Arabidopsis thaliana: one gene and its partners. The protein of the gene in region 1 interacts with the protein of each later gene in a biochemical or structural test. Each region holds a gene or a part of one and is shown in the gene's direction. Other genes may lie near its edges.

Region 1 (7,707 bases):
ACACAACAAAGCCGTTACATTTTCCAATCGCTGAATCATCTAACCGTAGACAAGTTACCGGAATATGTTTCTCCTTTATAAGCCGTCTTCAAGAATCATAGAGCTCAATATCCCTTGAACGAACTCGCTCTGTTTCAACTTTTCTCTGTGATCCTCTGCTGAAAGAGACTGCTTCTCAACATTCCTGTATAAGACAGATCAAGACAAGAACCATCATAACAAACTCTGCAATTTGCATTTCTACAACAACAACAAAAAAAACACTCAGATCACAAGAGCTTTTAGGTTATTGGTAAAACAAGGGATCAACTAAATTCCATTAAGGCTCATAAAAACTAAGGATGAGTAATATGCGATGACTTAACAAGAATGATCAAGAAATCAATGAGGATATCATCCAGAAGTGTAATCCAAATGAGAATGTGGAAGCATACCTTTCAGGCAAACTCTGATTCAATGTTTTCTTGGCAGAACTTGTGTCTGCACATAGACTTGACTCAGAAATGAAAAAGTCATCAGCCATTGGTGAAATGAATGAAGACAGTAAAGGATCAGCAGCTATACTGGCAGAAGAAGAGGATACAGCACGTGATGTTCCTTCAAATAGGCTCTGAAAATTTCCATCAGGAAACTCTCTCTTCAAGATCGATAGCATGGATTGAGCCCCGCCTCTTCTTGATTTCCTTTTCCGCGTCACGTAATATTTTGTTAAGGAATGTAACTGTTAGAGATAAAATCTTTATTATGATAGTAGAAAAGATAGAACAATAAAGCAACAAGAGTATAAACTCAATAGAATCCTCCAAAGCTCTCAATTGCTTGGTTAGGTTTCACAAACAAAACCTAACCCTTACTTCTAACAGAACATAAATAAAAGACTCTAGGAAAAGTAAATCCTAAACTATTTCCTAAATCATAAATCAGGAAGTATTCATATCATTAACACAACTCATTGGAAGAATCAGATAAGTACATGATCGTTAAAAATATAACTGGTAGAGAGAGCAAAAAGGATATCTTGAACATATTTGCATGTTGTAGGGTTATATGAGCAATCATATCAGAGCTCACTTTCACCGCACAAATGGGACATACCTACAAGATTAACAATGTCAAAACGCAGAATTGAAAACAAATCTTGCTATTGTAGCAATAAACAAGTGTCCTAGAGTTGATTTCTTCTCTGAGGAACACTGAGTGGCAATTCCAAATACTATTTCGACGCATTTCATTAGGTTACTTTCACTTTCTTTATATCCAAGACCAGTAACTACTAAACATAGAACAGTGCTCTTACCAAGAATGATATGATGAAACAATAAATAGATTTTGATTCAAAACGAGAGAAAGGTAACATTGAGGAAATATCTACCCCATTTTTTGCATCCATAGGATGATCTTCATCAATGTGACAGCATAGAGAGACGATATCAAAATAGTCTGAACAGAACGGGCAAGCATACTCCTCCCTGAAGTCATCTTCTCCTTCTATCTCCTCAAACCCCAAGAAATTGTCTGCGTTTTTCAAAAATGAAGAAACTAGTCAAACACGGCCAAGAGAACATTCGAAAATGTGACAACTACAAAACAAAAGCCTAGAAAATAAAATGACAACTACAAAACAAAAGCCTAGAAAATAAAATGGGAAATACTAAAAACGCGTTCCATTCTCGAAGTTCCAATACAAATGGGTTTCAGAAGAAACATCAAAGATATCTAAATAAACGAATGGAAACTAGTAGATCATAAAACCTTCCCTGGCAAAGACGTCTAAGTTTGAGATGAAACTAAAGCTTTTAAAAACGTTTTTACCAACAAGAAGTTTTGTATTTACTTGTAAGTCAAACAAGAATCATCAAGATTCCAGCTTTTGACATTAAGTTCATACCAAAACCTAGAAACAAAACACACACGCTTAATCAATCCCTAAAGCCTCACATTAGTAAAATGCCTCAAAAGACAGAATTTATTTCCTCCATTTTCCTTAAATTCAATATCAGCAAAACAAACATTTGAACAATCACCATTTCAAATATTCAGAACAAGACACAATCAATGTCTTGTCCCATTTTGTTCGGAAAACCAGAACAGTAACAAAAATGTCAATCTCTTACAGTCAATCTCGATCCTTGATCAATTCAAAAGAAAACAAATTTGAGGTCTAAATATCATTGATATTTTTGCAATAGAATCAAGATTAAATTTAAGACAAAACCAATCAAATCTCAAATTAAGAAAGAACAAATCCAAGTTATAATTTTTATCAAACTCACCAGATCGAGACAAGAAATCGAGCTGATATCTTCTTGAAGCCGATGCGAGACGATCACTCCAAGAATCAGAATCCATTTTTTCTACGAAGATTATTACAAATCGAAACCAAAGAATCCACTTTTTCAACAACAACAACAAAAAATCAAATAAATTCCAAGAATCCGAATTGATCTTGAGTCCGGATAAAACAAAAACAGAGATATTCCGATTCAAGAATCAAAAGATTCCGACGAAATGCAAAGACGAAGACGACGACGACGATTTTGCGTCTTTTTTTTCTGGAATTCGTCTTTTTATCTTCTTTTTTTATTATGGTTTTTAATTCTTTGGATATAGAGAGAGAGAGAGAGTGAAAGACATAGAAGAGATGAGTTCTATTACATGTATTAAATTGTTTTTTAACAGCCCGCACGAATGCATGCCGTTTAAACCTTTTACCCGCCGTGTTTTTCCCTTTTGGAATATCAAAACGTCATGCTGTTAGTACGACGCTTACGTGTCGAAATATTATTGGTTTGTATTTGGTAAGCTGGTGAAACAGGACAAAGTTAGCCGCGCAACTGTTTTTTAACTTTTTTTTTTACTGTTTCCAAAGTTTTAAGTTTTGGGGAAATAGTGAAAAGTGAAAACCTCAATTTGCAAATCTGAGAGTTTACTTTCCTCATCGGAAAAAGTTTTGATCTCGCCGCTCTCCGAGCACTTCCTTGTCGGAGTCCCAATTTTTGTGTTCGGTTTTATTCTCGGTCGATGATGAAGCCGCGATTGTGTTCAGATCGGAGCTGATTTCGAATTTGGATGTGAAATTGAGATTCTAGGGATTTCAAATTTTGACGATCATGGCGACGAGGAATCGTACGTTGCTGTTTAGGAAGTACAGAAACTCTCTGAGAAGCGTCAGAGCTCCATTGTCGTCATCTTCATTGACGGGAACACGATCCGGCGGCGTTGGTCCGGTGATCGAGATGGCGAGTACTTCGTTATTGAATCCGAATCGCTCTTACGCTCCTATTAGTACCGAAGATCCTGGAACTTCTAGGTACTCTTCTCTCTCTTTATCAGTGAAAATGGTGAACAATTTGATCAATTAGGGTTAACTGGAAATGATTAGCTTAGCAATGAGAATGATAATACATCATTGATAGTGTAGTTGAAGTAAATGTCTGTGAGCTACGTTAAGCTGAGAGTTAGTAGTTACTGAGATATTTTTGGTCATGTTTTAGTAAAGGTGCGATAACAGTGGGCTTACCACCAGCTTGGGTTGATGTCTCTGAGGAGATATCTGTGAATATACAGCGTGCAAGGACTAAAATGGCTGAGTTGGGAAAGGCTCATGCCAAGGCGTTAATGCCATCGTTTGGGGATGGTAAAGAAGATCAACATAATATTGAGTCTTTGACACAGGAGATAACTTTTCTATTGAAGAAGTCTGAGAAGCAACTTCAGAGGCTTTCTGCTTCAGGGCCTTCTGAAGATTCAAATGTTAGGAAAAATGTGCAGGTAGTTTTGACTTGATGGAAGCTGCTCTTAACACATTTCCTTTCTTTTTGCTGCATTTGCCATTGCTATCTAAGATTTATCATGTGTGTTTAATAACAGCGGTCTCTTGCCACTGACCTCCAACTTCTTTCTATGGAGCTTCGCAAAAAACAGTCAACATATTTGAAACGCTTGAGGCAGCAAAAAGAGGTATGAAACTATTATCTATTTTAGTGTAATTGGCATTTCTTATACCGGAAACTATGTGATGTTGCAGTGTCTCATTCTTTGAAGTTTTTGTTTGCTTTCTGCTCCTCCGCCTCAAATGAAACTTCTTTACATCGATTTCATAGATGATAGATTCTTTTAGTACTTGTTTTTTCAGAGTATATTATTCTGTCCTCTCAAGAAGCTTTGACTTGAAATGTATTATCATTTATCAGGATGGGATGGATTTAGAGATGAATCTGAGCAGAAACAGATATAGACCTGAAGAGGATGACTTTGGCGATATGGTTTGACTCCTATACCTGTTTCATTCTATCGATTTAAAGCAATCATTCGTCTTATGTCTTCTTTATTGATGGAATTTTTTCTCGATTCCTTTTTAGTTAAACGAGCATCAGATGTCAAAGATAAAAAAGAGTGAAGAAGTATCTGTAGAGAGGGAGAAAGAGATACAACAGGCAAGTGCTTGCACTACGTCTTTGTTCTTAGTTGTTTGTAGCTCACCAACGTTTTTTTTTTTCTTTTGCAATCAATCATAATCTTTTTTCTTCTTCGTTGTCTGTGTCATTGTCCAGGTTGTAGAATCAGTAAACGATCTTGCTCAAATTATGAAGGATCTTTCTGCACTTGTGATAGATCAGGTTAAACTTATTTAATCCCATATTCTCTTTGTCTAGCTTTTGAGTCTTCTTCCTTTCGAAAAACAAACTCAAAGCAACCCGTTTAATTGCAGGGTACAATAGTTGATCGGATAGACTATAATATCGAAAACGTCGCTACTACTGTTGAAGATGGTCTCAAACAACTACAGAAGGTAAAAATAGTGTTCTCTCTTCAACATTAATGTCCAACTATTTGTTTGTCCCAATTCTAAATGAAGTGGATCGCATAAAAAAACTTCACAGGCAGAGCGAACGCAGAGACATGGAGGTATGGTGAAGTGCGCATCCGTGCTTGTCATCCTCTGTTTCATCATGCTGCTACTCTTAATCCTCAAGGAAATATTCTTGTGATCGGATACTATAATCCCTGGTTAGATCAATAAGAAAAGTTCGATCCTTAACTATTTCATTCTTTAGCCCCGAACATCGCATGTTTTCCTTCAGGGCTTTTGGTTTCAACTTCTTTGCATTTAACAATACTAAGATCCTTTGCAGAGTAGTTAGTACGTAATATTATTGTGTAGAAGAAGACCATAGATAGTCAGAGGTCGATGTCTGAGGAGTTGAGAGATCTGTGCACCAACGCCAAAATACTCTCTTCACGCTAAAGTCAAGTGTTCTTTTAAAATGTATAAGATTCCAGTCATAGTTGTTGGAACTTGTTTTTGACAAAATGGTTTTGACCATTGTAACTTGTGGATTTTCCGGTGAAGACGTTCATTGGAGTGACCAGATTTCGGGCAAGATGGAATCGTAGCTGCGAGCACTACATGGTGGAGTATTCAAATGTGAAAACGAGTTTGTTTGAAATCTTTTACTTTCCGGTTATTGTATCTTCGCATAAATTACAAATTCTCAACATTCTAGTTCTTTTAAAAACATATATCATTTACAAATGTATAAATATTTTTCACTTGAAACAATGAAAACTTTATACACGTTTTTGTGATGAGTTAATATGAATTAAATTACATCTCAAGTTCTCAACTCTAGTTTGAAATTGGTCATGCCAAATAGCCTAATTGAACTTGTATTGTTATTGTGTCATTATCATGGTTCAAACCCATATTATAATCATACTGTTGACAAAAATTATAATTTTAATATTAAATTTGTGTTATTATTTTTGTAGATAATTAGCTGGAGGGTTTTTAAAAGAAAAATATAAAAAAAAAATTAAATAATGATTATATCAGCGCTTAAAAAAGATAGTATTATCCTGGATAGCACATTATTTTTTTTATCTGTTTCTAATGATTCTTTAAATTACCTTTAAATATAATAAATTACATATCTAAGAATTTTTTAAAATTTATGATAATATTTTATCTTTTTTAAATGTAGCATGTATATAATAAATTTAAAACTTATATTATATATAGTGCTTCAATAAAATCCTTGAACATGTATAACCAAAAAAAAACCTCAAACAACATGTGCATGGATGTTTACCAATTATCATTTAAAATATAGTTATCTTATTTACAATGGATGTTTACCAATTATTGGTTATATATTTATTTACAAAAATAAAATGAAAAAAAGTAGTTGATGGTTTTAGTCTTTTTTTCGCAATAGGGATAATTTTATTGTTTAAGTCAAATATTACATGGATTATGAAATACCCCAGAACAAAAAAGCTACAGAAACATATTAGGCCCAACTAAAGCCCAACAGAGAAACCGTCTATGGAAGAAGAAATATTATCTTTTGTCTCTATCCAAAGCCACGTGTCTTCTGCTGGAGAGAAACCAATACACGTACTGGATGAGAATCCAAAGTTTTCCCGACTTCATCCTTCGCCGTCAAACATCGACTCCGGTGAAGATTCAACGTCGATTAACAAATCAAACATGGAATCTTATGGGTTTTCACCGGTAAAAATAATCGAAGCCCTAATTAGAGAAACAACAGCTCAAGGTAATGTTAATATGCAACGGAAATCACTTTTTTTTCCAACTCAAATCTCTGATTTGTTTCCTGCAATTCTAAACTCAAAAAGAAAAACAGGTTAGATAATAAGTAACAAAAAGCGAAAACCGCTCTATCATTATCACCAACACATCTCAAATGAGATTTATTGAAAGCAAAGCTAATTTATGAAAAAACAAAAAGCAGCAAAAGAACGCTGACGGCATAGCCGACCATCATCACTGTGAAAGCTGAATGATACCGGACAAGAGCTGGCCAACACCGGAAAGAACTGGTAATTGCCAGACGATAATCCCTATCAGAGAAGACGGTAGCCGGAAAAAAATTCGGACGGCAAAGTGAGTTTGAGGTTTCTCTCTCTCTGAAAGAATTTAGAAAGAGAAGAGAGAGAAAAAACTTTGGTACTTAATTAATTATTTAAGTAATTAATTGATGATTTTAGTTTGTCTTGGAAACATACTTAAAACCAAAAAAATATGGAAATGGATTGTAATTTGTCTTGGAAACATACTTAAAACCACTCAAAAAACTAGATTTCCTGTTTTTTTTTGGAGAAATGTTTTTGAAAAACCACAATCATTTAAGGCCTTGTAGTTTTATTGCCAATGGAGTATGAGTTACTATCAAAAATTGAAAAACAAGTGAAATTCATATCCTTTTTAGTCTTAGCTGTATAATTTTCTGCATGGCCGGATCTAGTTAGTACCTAATATAAGTTAAACTATACAAAGTTATAGTTAAGATTACTTCATTAATTATATTAAAAGAGGATTAGTACTTTAGTAGATAACCCATAAACGAAAGCTAAGTAGTTGAATTTGCATGTGTACGTATATGGAGTATAAAGCAGTATGTACTATTTATTTATTTAGTGCATAGTCTTTTTACTTTCTTAAATCACACTTCCCTCTCAACTCCGTAACTCCCACAGATATAATAATTTATTTTATTTTCATATCTTAGAATTAAATTTGTTCTCTGAAGATAATTCTGATGTCAGAAAACTGCAATTCTCGCCATTTCTCATGGCTCATGAAATCTTGTTTACCAAATCCCTCCGACGCCAAATCACTAGTCCAGATCCACCAACCGTCGTCCACGGCGGCGAATTCTTCAGCTACAATCGCTTCTCTAC
Region 2 (6,933 bases), about 14 Mb from region 1:
CTCAAGAGATTGACAGCTTCTGCGTACTTCTTGATTTCATCGACTGATGGCTTGGGAGCACCTCCGATTTCCTTGTCAATGCTCAAGACTCTCGTGTACGGAGGGACAGCCTCAAAACTGGCCAGGACCGAACTGTCATCTGACTGAATCAAAACTTTCTGAGTTGATTGCTTGTCGAGTGTGGACTTGGCCAGAGCCGACTTAACTGCGTCTACGACTCCTAGGCCCTTCTTTGAGGCTAGGTAAGCAGCATTCTGTCAACAAACAATGCGTTAGAAGCTGCCTTGAGTAAATTTAGAAGCATTTTGGAGTTACAAAGTCTTGCCTCGATGTTGATCATAACTCCGGTGACAGCCTTTGCTTTGCTGAAGTCAAGGAAATCCGCAAGAGTAATGAACTTTCCAGCGTTTTTGTTTGCTGGATTTCTCTGGAAGCCCGTGGCAGTGAAGGGGTTCTCTATTTGTGCTGAATACAAAGATATCCCAATGCTCAGTGACTTAGTTGAGAATGAGATAGTTTCAGAAGTCTATAGTAAAACAAATCAGTTTCTTACGCTTCACAGACTGGATCTCAGCCCATGTAAGATCAAAAGAAAAAATGCCATTGGTAGGCTGGATCTCAGGAACGCTTGTGGCTCGGGACATGAAAATAGTCATGGCGGTGGTACTTGCTGTAAGGTCTGCAGCATCATGGCAGAAAGCGATTCCGTCTTTAGACATCTGAACAGAGCAGTCGATCACGTCTGCTCCATCATCGACTGCTTTCTGGTAAGCCAGATCAGTGCAGCCTGGATAGTCTCCGCTTGCTCCATTGTGAGTTATAACCAACGCATGCCCTGCTTTGGGGAGATTGCCATTTTGGTGAGAAAAGCAAGCTGCAAGAAAACAGACGCTTTAGCTTCTTCTTAATAATCAGCTATCTGAGGAAACGTATATAGCAAGTCATCTCACTGATGGATTGTGATGCTGTTGGCGGGAAATCAGTAATGACGCCATCAACAGAAAACTGGCCATTGTCCACAAACTGGAGATACTCAGCGGAGGGATCATAGCTGTAGTTAAAGCTGGTGCGCAAGTCATTGGCAAACCCTGAAGCATAGACCTCTAGACCGGCTTTGTGGGCATCAGCCACAAAAGTGGTGGCGGGCTTAAGGTACTTAGCTGAGTCAATGGGCCAAATGTAGTCTTTGGGCACAAGAACGCCTGAAGCAAAGGCCTTGATGGCTGCGAGGTTCTGCTGAATCTCACTGTACTTCTTGTTGGTGGTGGGCTCAACTGCCTCTGGGTCTTTGAACTCGAATATGAGCTTTGTCTTGGCCCTGCCCGCGTCCATCCCGATGCTCTTCAAGAAACCAATCTCTGGAGATGAGATGACATTAATGCCGCGGAATTGCAAGCTTCTCAGGTACTCGGCTGGGCTCAGCTTGTGTTCCATGTAGAAGGCATCGTACTGCACATTTGCATTGTTTGTTGTTTTGATGAATCAACAAAAAAGCTCCATATGTTGGTTAATCATGTTCTCAAAGAGAAGAAAACATACCTGAACGCTCAACCAAAACTTGGGAGGCTTGGTTCCAAGGACGTCCTCCACTGCGGAAACCGACATTTGGCCGTCGAAGATGCTAGGCCGAGAGAAGATGTTCTGGACCACTGCACAATAACATAAAAGATGAAAATGTGTGGTCGTGGTGGTGAGCATTGAAGGGATGAAATGAAAGAGAAGAAGACATACAAGTGACATTGTTGAAGATGGTGTCGGCATCGTAATCAAGGACAAACCATCCCTTGAGGTCCTGACCGTTGACCTTGTAGGTCTTCTGGGCTTTAGGGAAGACTGAAGATATGGTGGTTGCATTGTCAAGTATGATATCTGACAAGCAAAGGCCCACACCGTCCTTAGTCATCTGAAGGTTGCACAACATTGTGAGGCCAGGCGAGCTGGTGCCAATAGCCAAGTCGTTTGCAGAGGCGCTTGACTCAGGGAAAAGACCCGAGAAGCCCCCTCTGGCCACAACGGCAGGCTCTTGTCCTGGAAGATAAAAGACAGGTACGGATTCTTAGAAACAAACAAAGAGCAGGTTATGTAATATGGGGATTGAGAAGGATACTTACCATTAAGGGTGAGCCATTTCTTAGCAGGAACCGCCGCGGCAGCAGCAGGAGTCTGGGGGGCTGCAACACATAAGTGTATAAAAAGGGAGAAAAATATGATAAACCTCAGCATCTCTGTATGATTGATCCTGTTTGTAACACAAAAGAAAAGCTATCATAAGATAGAAACTTTAAAATTTAAGAAAATGTGAAAGAGGCGAGAGAGACAAGTAAAGAGATCTCACAAGGCGAAAGCAAGAACATATGACCACCTTCCTCTTCTGCCTCTTTATGCTTCTTTTTCCCTTATGGGTTTGAGATTTTGAAAGAATAAGATGAAGAAAAACGGAAGCTTGGGGCCAAAGAAAGAAGGGGTTTCAAAATTGGAATGAAGAAAAACAAGTTAGTTAATTAATAGTAAGAAAGAAACTTGGCCATCCCATTTATGGATCAAACAACTCATCCACACCTATTTTTATCTCTCCTTTCTCTCTTACCGCGTTTCTGTCGTTCATTGAGACCTTGACGTATCAAAAAAATATATACTAAAATATATCCTCCATTTTTCACTTACGTATATAAATTAGTAACACGAACAAATATTAAAAATAATTTCGTTATATTAATAAATAAAATTTTAATTTTTTTTTTTCTATATGGCCTAACCCTGAAAGGTCCCTTAACTAAAAAGGTCTCTGGAATTCAACAACGATTCAACTCTCCTCTCTGCATCTATACATCGTATTGTCGATCTCGTCTCATCTGTCTTGTCTACTCTCTGCCCCGGTAACACCTCTCTATCTTGCTTCTTCTCTCTTTAGCTTCTTCTCTGTCTCTTATAACATATCTGCTCGAACACTCTTTATCTCGTCTACTCTCTCCTTGTTGTTTCAAAAGCTATGTTTTTTTTCGAGTTTCTGTCTTATGATTGTATAGTAACAAAATTAGTCTCTCACCAACTGTGACTTTGTTTTTTTTACGTTTTTAGCTCATAGTAAAATAAACTCACTGGAACTTCATTGGTTCTGTTTCATGATTCAGAACCCTTGTCATGAAGATCACTGCCTTGCTCGTTCTCAAGTGCGATCCCGAAACACGCGAACCCGTTATCCTGGCCAACGTTTCCGACCTCTCACAATTCGGAAAATTCTCTTTTTATCGCTCTAACTTCGAAGAGTTCATTGTATTCATTGCCCGTACTGTTGCCAGAAGAACCCCTCCAGGTCAGCGCCAATCCGTCAAACACGAAGGTTCTTCTTCTTTTTTTTTGGCTCTTGGATCTGTCATATATATGTGTCCTGTTTATAATTTTGTAATTGACATCGCTGTGTTGATATGTAGAGTATAAAGTGCACGCTTACAACATAAATGGCCTCTGCGCCGTAGGATTCATGGACGACCATTATCCCGTTCGAAGTGCCTTTTCTCTTCTCAATCAGGTACAAAACAAAATCTAACTTCTGGTACGGTCTTGTTTGAAGGAAAATATTTTTTCTTTCGTTGGCATTCTGTTTTTGACAGGTATTAGATGTATACCAGAAGGATTATGGTGACACATGGAGGTTTGAAAACTCTAGTCAGCCGTGGCCATACTTAAAAGAAGCTTCAGACAAATTTCGGGTTCTAGAAGCACTAACTTTTTTGTATCTATGAATCTTGTTTAAGACTTTAGGAACTATTTGCTGTGTCAATTATTCTTACTTTTTTTTGGAATATCTTCAGGACCCGGCAGAAGCTGATAAGCTGTTGAAAATCCAGAGGGAATTGGATGAGACCAAGATTATCCTTGTAAGTGCCGTCCCTGGTTCTTGATTGTTGACCTGCATGCTTTGCTTCCTTTTTACATTCCAATACATACCAGTTCCCTCCATTAAGTTCTTGTTTCCAAGGTCGCTTAAACATGGTCGTTTTATGCTGACTTTTGTTTTATACTACAGCATAAAACCATTGATGGTGTCCTAGCCCGAGGTGAAAAGCTGGACAGCTTAGTGGAGAAGAGCTCAGAGTTAAGCCTGGCATCGAAGGTAACATTCCACCCTAGTATTACTTACTACTGTTTCTTCAGTGGATTCTGAGGGTAATGGGAGATAGATGAAATAGTTTCTGACATGAGAATATTGGTTTGTTTTGGTGTTTGGATGAAACAGATGTTTTACAAGCAAGCGAAGAAAACAAACTCATGTTGTACACTTCTCTAAGCTGTAATGCAACTCTTGAATGTCCCTCTATAGAATAGTCTACCCTACTTGAACTGCTTTCTATGAACTTATGAACATATCTCAAGGAATAAGTTGTTCCATGTCAGGTTTTAGTTTTTTTTTTTTTTGTTATGTGGGAAAAAAGATCAATGATTTTGGTCATGCATTTTATGGAATAATAGAGAAGACGCACACACACATACAAGGATAGATTTGAAGCACGAATGTGAAAATTGGGTAAACACGAAAGTCATACAGTCCTCACCAAATGGCCACTTTCATCTATAAGTAGTGTAGGGCCTTTGAAGTCCCATTTTGCACTCAAAGTTGGCCCACAGCTTATGAATGTTCGTGATCGTATAAGGCATGGAAAGAGCTTGCAGTGTGACAAATTAATAAATGCCACATTAGCGATAATGGAATCAGAAAAACAAACAAACTGGTGAAAGATAATATACCATAAATCATTTAGACTAATGTGTAGTTTTTTTTTTGGTTTTTTTTTTCTGTAATGTGTAGTTTTTATCCAAGAGATGTTAGCTAAGAATGACAGTTTCATCATATTGGGATAAAAAATTATATAAATAAAATTAACATAATTAATAATTTGTTAACTAGTAAAGCTATTGTATCGGAAAACATTATATAAGTTCAATTTTTCACGGCTTACTTTCAAGTTTAACTATGTATGTTGATGTGTATATGTATTGCATACTTTTAATGTACATTGATTGTATCGACTCTCATTTCGATGCAATCAATGAATTAGGCGTTACAAAAGAAAAAGAATACAAACTCAAGATTTTATAATCGAATCTAGATACTCTATAACATTCTAATTTTCGTAACGGCTAGTAAAATCTAAACAGTCTAAATATTCAAATTTTCGTGACAAATAGTCGAGTACAGACACTCTAAACATTCAAATTTTCGTAACGGATCAAAGACTCGAATCTATGATAATTTAATTCAACCTCTGCATTGGTTACAAATGTTCTTTTGAATTTTTGTCTTAAGGGGAATTGTGACTTTGTGAGAAAAAAGCATTGCACAAATCTGAAGAAGAAAAGTGGTATGGTACAGTTAATGGGACTACTACTACTAACATTGAAAAACGAAAAGGCTCAAAACCAAACCGCTTTAAAAGGAAGGAACCTCTCTAATATTTTTCGTATTAACTCATAACGGGCCCACAACAGTTGCAATAGTCTTTCAAAATTCTCCTCTCTAATCTCACAAAAACCTCTCCGATCTCTCGCTCTCTCAGATCTCCTCCATGGATCCCGCTTCTTCTTCTTCCTCAAATCAGCGCAACCGAATCGTCTCTTCTGGTACACTCTTTTCCCCCTCATTTTTCTTTTCGTATCTCTTCGATCTCCATGAACAAAATCCCCCAATTGAACCCAAACCCTAGAACATTATAGAGCCGTTGATGTTCTGTTTCTACTTCTGACGAGATATGTTGACTTCTCTCGCAGGGGAAAGACCAGTGATGGCTGATAATGGCGTCCAACAGGTAATTTAATTCAATCTTCTTCTTCTTCTTCTTCTATTTTGAATTATTGTAAAACCACCATCCTAGGTTTAAAATGCGTTGTTCCTTTCACCACCAGCAGGTTTCTCACGACGATGGAAGGAACATTGTTTCTTCGTCTTATAGTTCTTCCGTGGTTCCTTCTCCTGATCCCGCTCCTTATTATAACGTTCTTCAAACCCCTACCAATCTCTATCACTACGATTGGGATATCGCAAATTCTGGTAATTTTTTGTCTTCTTCTCTCTTCTAATAAATCAAACAAAATCTGTAAGTGCTCATTGCATTGTTGTGTTTTCTCTAGGCTATGCACAAGGCATCAATACTTGGGATGGATATCCACGATATGCTACTACTACCCCTGAAGCCATGCATGTGCCACCGGTTAGTATGACTTGCCCTATTTATGTTCTATCTTCCTCTTGCTACTTAATTAACTTAGTTATTCTTTATCCTCAGGTTGTCTACAATGACAATTCATCTCTTATGTACCAATATCCTGGTTATGGATTTAACCCTTATCCTTCTGTAATGTTGGAGGGACAAATTCCAGTCTCCCCAGCTTATTACCCACAACCTTTTGGTGCACCTTCTGCAATGCATTATTTACCCTCAGATATTGACCCAACATCTGCTGCTTATATGATTCCTTACGGGCAATATGGTGGAGGGAATTATTCCGGAAATCAAGGGGACATCTCTTTAACATCTCATATACCTTATCCTCAAACGATGGGTATACTTGGGCCATACGACCATAATGCTTCACAGGTTAATACTCTTCCCTCTTTAGTTTTAACTATTATGGGCTTATGTACATAACCTTTATTTGGTTTGGTTCGGTAAACATTTGCTTACTAGGAATAAAACTGCATAAAAGTGCCACTGGTTATTAGTATCACTAGTTTTTTGTGAGTCCATCTCTTTAGCTTTGTCGTGCAAGATAATGAATACATGCTGACACACTGGAAGAGCCATGATATTTTCTCATATATGATTGAACTTTCAGTTTTGTTCTTCCCTGTAATGGTTTTGGGGAATAGAGGTGTCTTTGGCATACGCCTTGGATTCAAATCAGTTCACTGTTTTATTGGCTTATCACATTTCTTTG
Region 3 (7,048 bases), about 14 Mb from region 1:
GTGTTAGTGGAGCTTCCTTGTGTTAGTCAAGGAGCATTTGGAAGTTAAATGGCTTGCCTGAATGTTGATTAAAACTCCGGTGACTGCCTTTGCTTTGCCGAGCTCAAGGAAGTCCGCAAGAGTCGTGAACTTCCCGGCGTTCTTGTTTGCGGGGTTTCTCTGGAAGCCCGTGGCAGTGAAGGGGTTTTCTATTTGTGCTGAAGACAAAGATATCCCAATGCTCAGTGACTTAGTTGAGAATAAGATTAGTTTAAGAAATCTATAGAAAAGAAATCAGTTTCTTACGCTTCACAGACTGGATCTCGGCCCATGTAAGATCAAAAGAGAAGATTCCGTTGGTAGGCTGGATCTCAGGAACGCTGGTGGCTCGGGACATGAAAGTAGTCCTGGCGGTGGTACTTGCTGAGAGGTCTGCAGCATCATGGCAGAAAGCGATTCCGTCTTTGGACATCTGAACAGAGCAGTCAATTATGTCTGCTCCATCGTCGATTGCTTTCTGGTAAGCCAGATCAGTGCAGCCTGGATAGTCTCCGCTTGCTCCATTGTGAGTTATAACCAATGCATGCCCTGCTTTGGGGAGATTGCCGTTTTGGTGAGAAAAGCAAGCTGCAAGAAAACAGACGCTTTAGCTTCTTCTTAATAATCAGCTATCTGAGGAAACATATATAGCAAGTCATCTCACTGATTGATTGTGATGCTGTTGGCGGGAAATCGGTGATGACACCATCAACAGAGAACTGGCCATTGTCCACAAACTGGAGATACTCAGCAGAGGGATCATAGCTGTAGTTAAAGCTGGTGCGCAAGTCGTTGGCAAACCCTGAAGCATAGACCTCTAGACCGGCTTTGTGAGCATCAGCCACAAAAGTGGTGGCGGGCTTAAGGTACTTAGCTGAGTCAATGGGCCAAATGTAGTCTTTGGGCACAAGAACGCCTGAAGCAAAGGCCTTGATGGCTGCGAGGTTCTGCTGAATCTCGCTGTACTTCTTGTTGGTGGTGGGCTCAACTGCCTCGGGGTCTTTGAACTCAAATATGAGCTTTGTCTTGGCCCTGCCCGCGTCCATCCCGATGCTCTTCAAGAAACCAATCTCTGGAGATGAGATGACATTAATGCCGCGGAATCGCAAGCTTCTCAGGTACTCGGCTGGGCTCAGCTTGTGTTCCATGTAGAAGGCATCGTACTGCACATTTGCATTGTTTGTTGTTTTGATGAATCAACAAAAAAGCTCCATATGTTGGTTAATCATGTTCTCAAAGAGAAGAAAACATACCTGAACGCTCAACCAGAACTTGGGAGGCTTGGTTCCAAGGACATCCTCCACTGCAGAAACCGACATTTGGCCGTCGAAGATGCTAGGCCGAGAGAAGATGTTCTGGACCACTGCTCAATAATACAAAACATGAAAATGTGTGGTGGTGGTGGTGAGCATTGAAGGGAGGAAATGAAAGAGAAGAAGACATACGAGTGACTTTGTTGAATATGGTGTCGGCATCGTAATCAATGACAAACCAGCCCTTGAGGTCCTGACCGTTGACCTTGTAGGTCTTCTGGGCTTTGGGGAAGACCGAGGAGATGGTGGTTGCATTGTCAAGTCTGATATCTGACAAGCAAAGGCCCACACCGTCCTTAGTCATCTGAAGGTTGCACAACATTGTGAAGCCAGGCGAGCTGGTGCCAATAGCCAAGTCGTTTGCAGAGATGCTTGACTCAGGGAAAAGACCCGAGAAGCCCCCTCTGGCCACAACGGCAGGCTCTTGTCCTGGAAGACAAAAGACAGGTACGGATTCTTAGAAACAAACAAACAACATGGTATCTTAAGTCTTAACATTAAACAACAACAAAAAAAAAAACATGGTAGTATGCAATATGGGCATACTCTGTAAAAGGATGCTTACCGTTAAGGGTAAGCCATTTCTTGGCAGGAACAGCTGCGGCAGCAGCAGGAGTCTTGGGTGCCGCAACAGAAGAGTGTAAGAAAAGGGAGAAAAGAATGAAAAACCTCAGCATCTCTATCTGATTGATCCTGCATTTGTGTGTAACGTACGTACCCCAATGGAAAAGCAAAGTCAGGATACATGTAACAAAAACAGAATTGTCACATTTAAGAAAATTGTGAAAGAGAGATCTTACAGCGAGAAAAGAACATGAATCCCCTCTCCTGCTTGTTTTCCTCGTTTAGTTAGAGGAAAGGAAAAAGAAGAGAAAGAGGAGATGGGTCAAACAAGGTTAATTAATGGTAAAAAAAAGTAACTTGCTCTCATATCCTCCATTTATGGCCATTTACTCCTTTCTATTTTTATCTCTTCTTCTCCACCATTCCCTTCTTAACCGCTTTTTCTTTTTTTGATGCTTTCTTACATCTTCTTTGCACAAATGGGTGTAACACCCCTCAGTTTTGGACTTTGTACTATATTCATTTGTCATACATGTATGTAGTTAAAATGACAATATTAGAGTTTGGCATTCGGACCAAACCAAGTTGTCCGATCTAAACCAAACCAATATTCCGTTAATAAGAAAACTCGATTGGCAAAAATTAAAATATTCTTTGGTTTCAGTTTTTGCCTAGACTTAAAATTCTTAAAAATCCAATTCTATGTGATGGAAAAATCTTTGATTCCGGTCCAATTCTGCATCAATATATGCTAAACCGAACCGAGACTGCCCACATAAAATTGAATTGAACCAAAGGTTTTTAATTTTTACTTCAACATAGCGAATAAGAAAAAGAGGGTATATATTCATTATTCAATGTTAATGAGAAGGCGTCTGCGTTTGGTTCGACACCTCAAAACTTGTTTTGCCTTTAGCATCTCCGAGTAAGGAATCCAGGTCCAAAGCCTCTTCTCTTCCTCCTCCTCGCTTCCTTCTCACGCAACCTTGGATCCACCGCAGCTATGAAGATCACCGCCTTGCTCGTTCTCAAGTGCGCTCCCGAAGCTTCTGATCCCGTCATCCTCTCCAACGCTTCGGACGTCTCTCACTTCGGTTATTTCCAGCGATCTAGCGTCAAGGAGTTCGTCGTCTTTGTCGGTCGCACTGTCGCTAGCCGAACCCCTCCTTCCCAACGCCAGTCTGTTCAACACGAAGGTTCTTCTCCTTCTTCTTCTACCTCTCTAGATCGATTGTTTTCAAATCTTCTTTCTCCCGGATCTAATGCAATCTCCTTTCCTCTTTGATTTTTATTCGATTTCTAAATTCGGATCGGCTTTTCGATTTTGAAACTTTTATGATTTAGGATGTGCACCGTTTCTGATTCTAGATCTTCCTGGACTATGCCCCGGCTTTAATTTCTTGCGATTCTATCTTATTGTTCTAGTCCTCGAATTTGGGATAATTAGGGTTCGTGTTTTTATTTTGTTTTTGGTTTAGAGTACAAGGTTCACGCTTACAATAGAAATGGCCTTTGCGCGGTGGGTTTCATGGACGATCATTACCCTGTTCGAAGTGCTTTCTCTCTTCTCAATCAGGTAATATCATTATGTTGAAAGTGGTTCTCAATGCATCATTCGTAAGTTTTCCTGTAATTTGGGTTGCTTGACATTTAATTTTGTCTCAGGTCCTAGATGAGTACCAGAAGAGTTTTGGTGAGTCATGGAGGTCTGCAAAAGAAGACTCCAATCAGCCTTGGCCATACTTAACCGAAGCTTTAAACAAATTTCAGGTTCTTCACTTGTGCAACTGTATTCGCTCTTTTACTGTGAATTTTGTTAAAACTGTAGTTATATTAAGCTCAGTTAGGTGGACATTAGAATCCAATCGAATGATTCATTCTTCATGAATTAATTTTAGTAGCCCCCATTGTTTTATGACCATGTTGGATTTTGAGTGATTTGATCTTAAATTGATTTTGGGATTGTCCCGTATTTGTAATCTTCAGGACCCAGCAGAGGCTGATAAGCTGTTGAAAATCCAGAGGGAGTTGGATGAGACAAAGATTATCCTTGTAAGTGCTGTCTCCGGTCCTTTCTTGTAGACCCTTATACATAAGCGGTACTTCCTTTTCTAAGTTTCAGTATACTTGCCAATTATACATAAATGCTGTTCTGTCGGTGAGTTTACTTTCTTCTGAAAAACACCAAAACAAGAAGAAAGTCTTGGTAGTTATGATGGATGTCCCTGTCTCCGTAAGACTGATTTTTTGTTCTGTATTGTAGCATAAAACCATTGATAGTGTTCTAGCCCGTGGTGAGAAGCTGGACAGCCTAGTGGAGAAGAGCTCAGATTTGAGCATGGCATCACAGGTAACATTCTAAAGTCACATTCTAGAAATTCTTATAGATTTAGTTTCCTTTTTTCCCTGTCTCGATCTCTGAGCATAGTTGGTGAACACGTTAGAAAGGGTTGTTGATTTAGCAGGCTTATAAGTGTTGTTGATTGATAGAGGAACTATTGCATGTTATTGTTGGGGTAGATAAATAGAGGAAGAATGTGGATTTAGAATACCTTCTTTGAAAAAGCTTTCTGCTTCAGCCTGCAGACATTTGAGTGCAGTTTGAACTATACAGTTGGATTTTGGAATTATTAGGTTTGCTACGAAGAATCATAGTGTTTTTTGCTATATCATCTGACCATGGGGAGGAACATATGTATTAGTCATATCCTCTGGAATCTCAAGATATTCTTCGTTATTTAGATTAGGTAAACCATGTTTACTTCCAACATGAAAATCTGATTTGGTTGTATTGGTTGGAACAGATGTTTTACAAGCAAGCGAAGAAAACAAATTCATGCTGTACTATTCTGTGAGCTGGAAGTCCTGCTGGGTATATAGTCAACCAAACTTTTGCTGGGGGGAGACTGTTTTTTCTATCGTCTTATCTATACATATAATTCCGTCTGTAGTTTGCATGCATTATTTTGATTCCATAAGTCTCGAGTCGTGTGGTGTGTTTATCCAAATACATAATGTCAACTTCTGCAAGATTTGAATTGTCTTTCCCAGATTTGATCTGATTGAATTTGTGTGCGCTTCCTTATGGTAAAAGAGACGACTTTGCATAACTAGATGAAGATGTCGTAAATAGACAAAAGCAGATGATGGAAGATAACTAGAGTAGACAAAGGGGGTAGTATATTACACAGACAAAAGGATCAAAGAGGTGAAACAAAGTCTTTGTGTGCCGTGTAATCTATTTGCCGAAGAGAGATTTGAACCACCAAACGCCCTTGGAGTCTTCAGGGGCAGTGTTGGACTCAGGTGGTGTGTCACTCTGAGGAGTCTTGTGAAGCTTGCTGATGTCATAACCTTCCTCCACTGCCTTCTCCACCAGCTGCTTATACGTCTCTTCCTCCATTTGCGCCGTCCTGCTCAATATCTACACCACCCACATATACAGAGTCAATCATTTTTGGGATCAATTTCGATTATTCGTTAAAGAGAAAAAAAAAAGAGTACCAACCCAGAGATAACTCCTGGAAGGCTGGCCAATGAGAGCGTGCTGGTAGTCAGGATCGATGTAGAGCACCCAGTAGTCTCCGGTGACGGGAATGATTGGGAGGAAAGGAGGGACATAGAACTTGACTTTGAGCTTGGCTTCGTCGCTTTTAGGATCGGCCTTATAGGCGCTGCCTTCGATAAAACCCCTCTTCCCGTTGCTCCACGTTTCGTTCAAGACGTGTATGGTACCGTCGGGGTTAAGGGTGTAGGTGGCGCGAGTGTCGACGCCGTTCTTTGGCTGAAACCTTGATGGGAAAGAAGCAATCTCGTACCAACGGCCCATGTATCTCTCCACGTTGAGCCCTTTCACCACTTCCATCTCTTTCTTCTCTGTCATTTCTCTTCTTTTTCTTTTCTTCTTCTCTAAGATTTCGATGTTTTCTTTGAGGTAAAAGGATAAGAAGAGATTCTGTTCTTTATAAGGAAATAAAAAAATAATATCAAGGAGATTTCGCTGGGACGAGAGGATGCCACGTGGAAAGCGTGTAGGGCAAGGGTTCTAGTAGCGTCTAGCAGTTACAAATGTGAATAAAGGTGGAGGACACAAATGTCTTCCTTGTTCTGTGGGAAGAAGGATACAATACAATGGGCCATACAGTCACATTTTGATTTGACTTCCTCTAGCCGTTTCTAGGCCCCACCAAATTATCCTATCGACATCTAAATATCTCTTCTTGTTGACACTTCAAAATAGCTCCATATGTAAACCAACGATCTCAATTAGGCCCATTACTATTCGTATATTGGTTTTGAATAACAACACTTATTCAGAAACTTTATAAAATAAATTTTTGTAACAGGCTCGCTTTCAATTCCAATTCATAAAAGAGAGTATGAAACAGGTTGGTGTACTATGATCTATTGACAGTCGGAGGAAACAATGTGGGAAGAAATTTAAAAAAATCACATGAAAATGGTCTCAAGTGGAGAAACTTAATGCAACTGGTAGAGAAAGAGATGACTAGCTAAGGTGGAGGAAATGAATCAAAGCCAAATCTAGTAGCCACTGGCACCATTCCGTTATTCTCCTCCTGCAACAAACACATTCACTTTCATTTTCTACAAACTACAAAAGCTTTTAATCCAATCAAGAAAACAACCGCGTTACCTGTTTCATCATCTCATTCATTATGTCATCGAATACATCATGCTGGTTGTCATTCTCTGGCTTTCCCGACTTCATCTCTGGATCCAGCATTGTAGTAGCTTTTCCAACATACTCTTGACTGTTGTCTATTGGGTTCATCAGTGACTCATCCAAGCCTTTGCTTCTGGTTGAATTGTTGTCTCTGAAAACCATGTTATCTGCGGGTAGAGGATACTCAATGTTACCGAATGGATTGTTCAGCATGGTGCAGTTCTGTTGCTCCCATTTCTGTCCGCCTAACGGATTCACGTTCTGCATGAAGCCGCCAAGTAATTGAGGATCACACTGCATCTCTCCACCAGGATTCTCTGCAGAAACCAAAGAAGTACAATCTCCCAGATTGTTCCCTGCACATGTCACTTGATCCGGCAAGAAAGCAAGATTTAGTGGTAAGGAACTCGGTGGGAATCTGGTTGTGTTCAAATTCCCTTGCCAGCTATGACCAGGAAATCTAGATAAG

The links. Proteins that work in one complex are often made in the same cells at the same time.
Region 2: the proteins of SYP41 (region 1) and ATYKT62 form a complex in vitro, tested with the Arabidopsis thaliana proteins (one study listed by BioGRID).
Region 3: the proteins of SYP41 (region 1) and YKT61 form a complex in vitro, tested with the Arabidopsis thaliana proteins (one study listed by BioGRID).

Annotation. Positions count from the first base shown.
Region 1 is NC_003076.8:9,486,008-9,493,714, reverse strand, and holds SYP41 (syntaxin of plants 41), read left to right. Parts: upstream 1-2,622; 5' UTR 2,623-3,110; coding exon 3,111-3,310; intron 3,311-3,494; coding exon 3,495-3,771; intron 3,772-3,870; coding exon 3,871-3,960; intron 3,961-4,193; coding exon 4,194-4,265; intron 4,266-4,361; coding exon 4,362-4,436; intron 4,437-4,553; coding exon 4,554-4,619; intron 4,620-4,711; coding exon 4,712-4,792; intron 4,793-4,883; coding exon 4,884-4,991; 3' UTR 4,992-5,582; downstream 5,583-7,707. Other genes in the region: AT5G26990 (Drought-responsive family protein), read right to left, coding at 76-184, 435-697, 1,018-1,095, 1,373-1,515, 2,274-2,349; AT5G26970 (uncharacterized protein), read left to right, coding at 6,329-6,655; AT5G26960 (Galactose oxidase/kelch repeat superfamily protein), read left to right, coding at 7,566-7,707. UniProt on the Arabidopsis thaliana protein: Contributes to the regulation of secretory and vacuolar transport pathways in the post-Golgi network, and to the maintenance of the Golgi apparatus and trans-Golgi network (TGN) morphologies. Together with VTI12, required for membrane fusion.
Region 2 is NC_003076.8:23,540,870-23,547,802, forward strand, and holds ATYKT62 (Synaptobrevin family protein), read left to right. Parts: upstream 1-2,782; 5' UTR 2,783-2,876; intron 2,877-3,131; 5' UTR 3,132-3,141; coding exon 3,142-3,340; intron 3,341-3,431; coding exon 3,432-3,529; intron 3,530-3,611; coding exon 3,612-3,710; intron 3,711-3,812; coding exon 3,813-3,878; intron 3,879-4,027; coding exon 4,028-4,114; intron 4,115-4,237; coding exon 4,238-4,288; 3' UTR 4,289-4,416; exon of another isoform or gene 4,417-4,421; intron 4,422-4,772; 3' UTR 4,773-4,891; downstream 4,892-6,933. Other genes in the region: SVL5 (SHV3-like 5), read right to left, coding at 1-254, 326-465, 554-874, 951-1,449, 1,540-1,649, 1,732-2,028, 2,112-2,223; ECT10 (evolutionarily conserved C-terminal region 10), read left to right, coding at 5,565-5,619, 5,767-5,804, 5,902-6,046, 6,127-6,206, 6,282-6,593. UniProt on the Arabidopsis thaliana protein: Involved in the secretory pathway. Essential for membrane fusion mediated by either SYP41 or SYP61; triggers the fusion of phospholipid vesicles containing SYP41 or SYP61 and VTI12.
Region 3 is NC_003076.8:23,495,379-23,502,426, forward strand, and holds YKT61 (SNARE-like superfamily protein), read left to right. Parts: upstream 1-2,760; 5' UTR 2,761-2,898; coding exon 2,899-3,091; intron 3,092-3,239; coding exon 3,240-3,313; intron 3,314-3,373; coding exon of another isoform or gene 3,374-3,381; coding exon 3,382-3,471; intron 3,472-3,560; coding exon 3,561-3,665; intron 3,666-3,881; coding exon 3,882-3,947; intron 3,948-4,158; coding exon 4,159-4,245; intron 4,246-4,682; exon of another isoform or gene 4,683-4,699; coding exon 4,700-4,750; 3' UTR 4,751-5,006; downstream 5,007-7,048. Other genes in the region: SVL4 (SHV3-like 4), read right to left, coding at 58-197, 286-606, 683-1,181, 1,272-1,381, 1,464-1,760, 1,897-2,008; TIL (temperature-induced lipocalin), read right to left, coding at 5,134-5,319, 5,404-5,778; RR18 (response regulator 18), read right to left, coding at 6,407-6,472, 6,550-7,048. UniProt on the Arabidopsis thaliana protein: May be involved in the secretory pathway. Essential for membrane fusion mediated by either SYP41 or SYP61; triggers the fusion of phospholipid vesicles containing SYP41 or SYP61 and VTI12.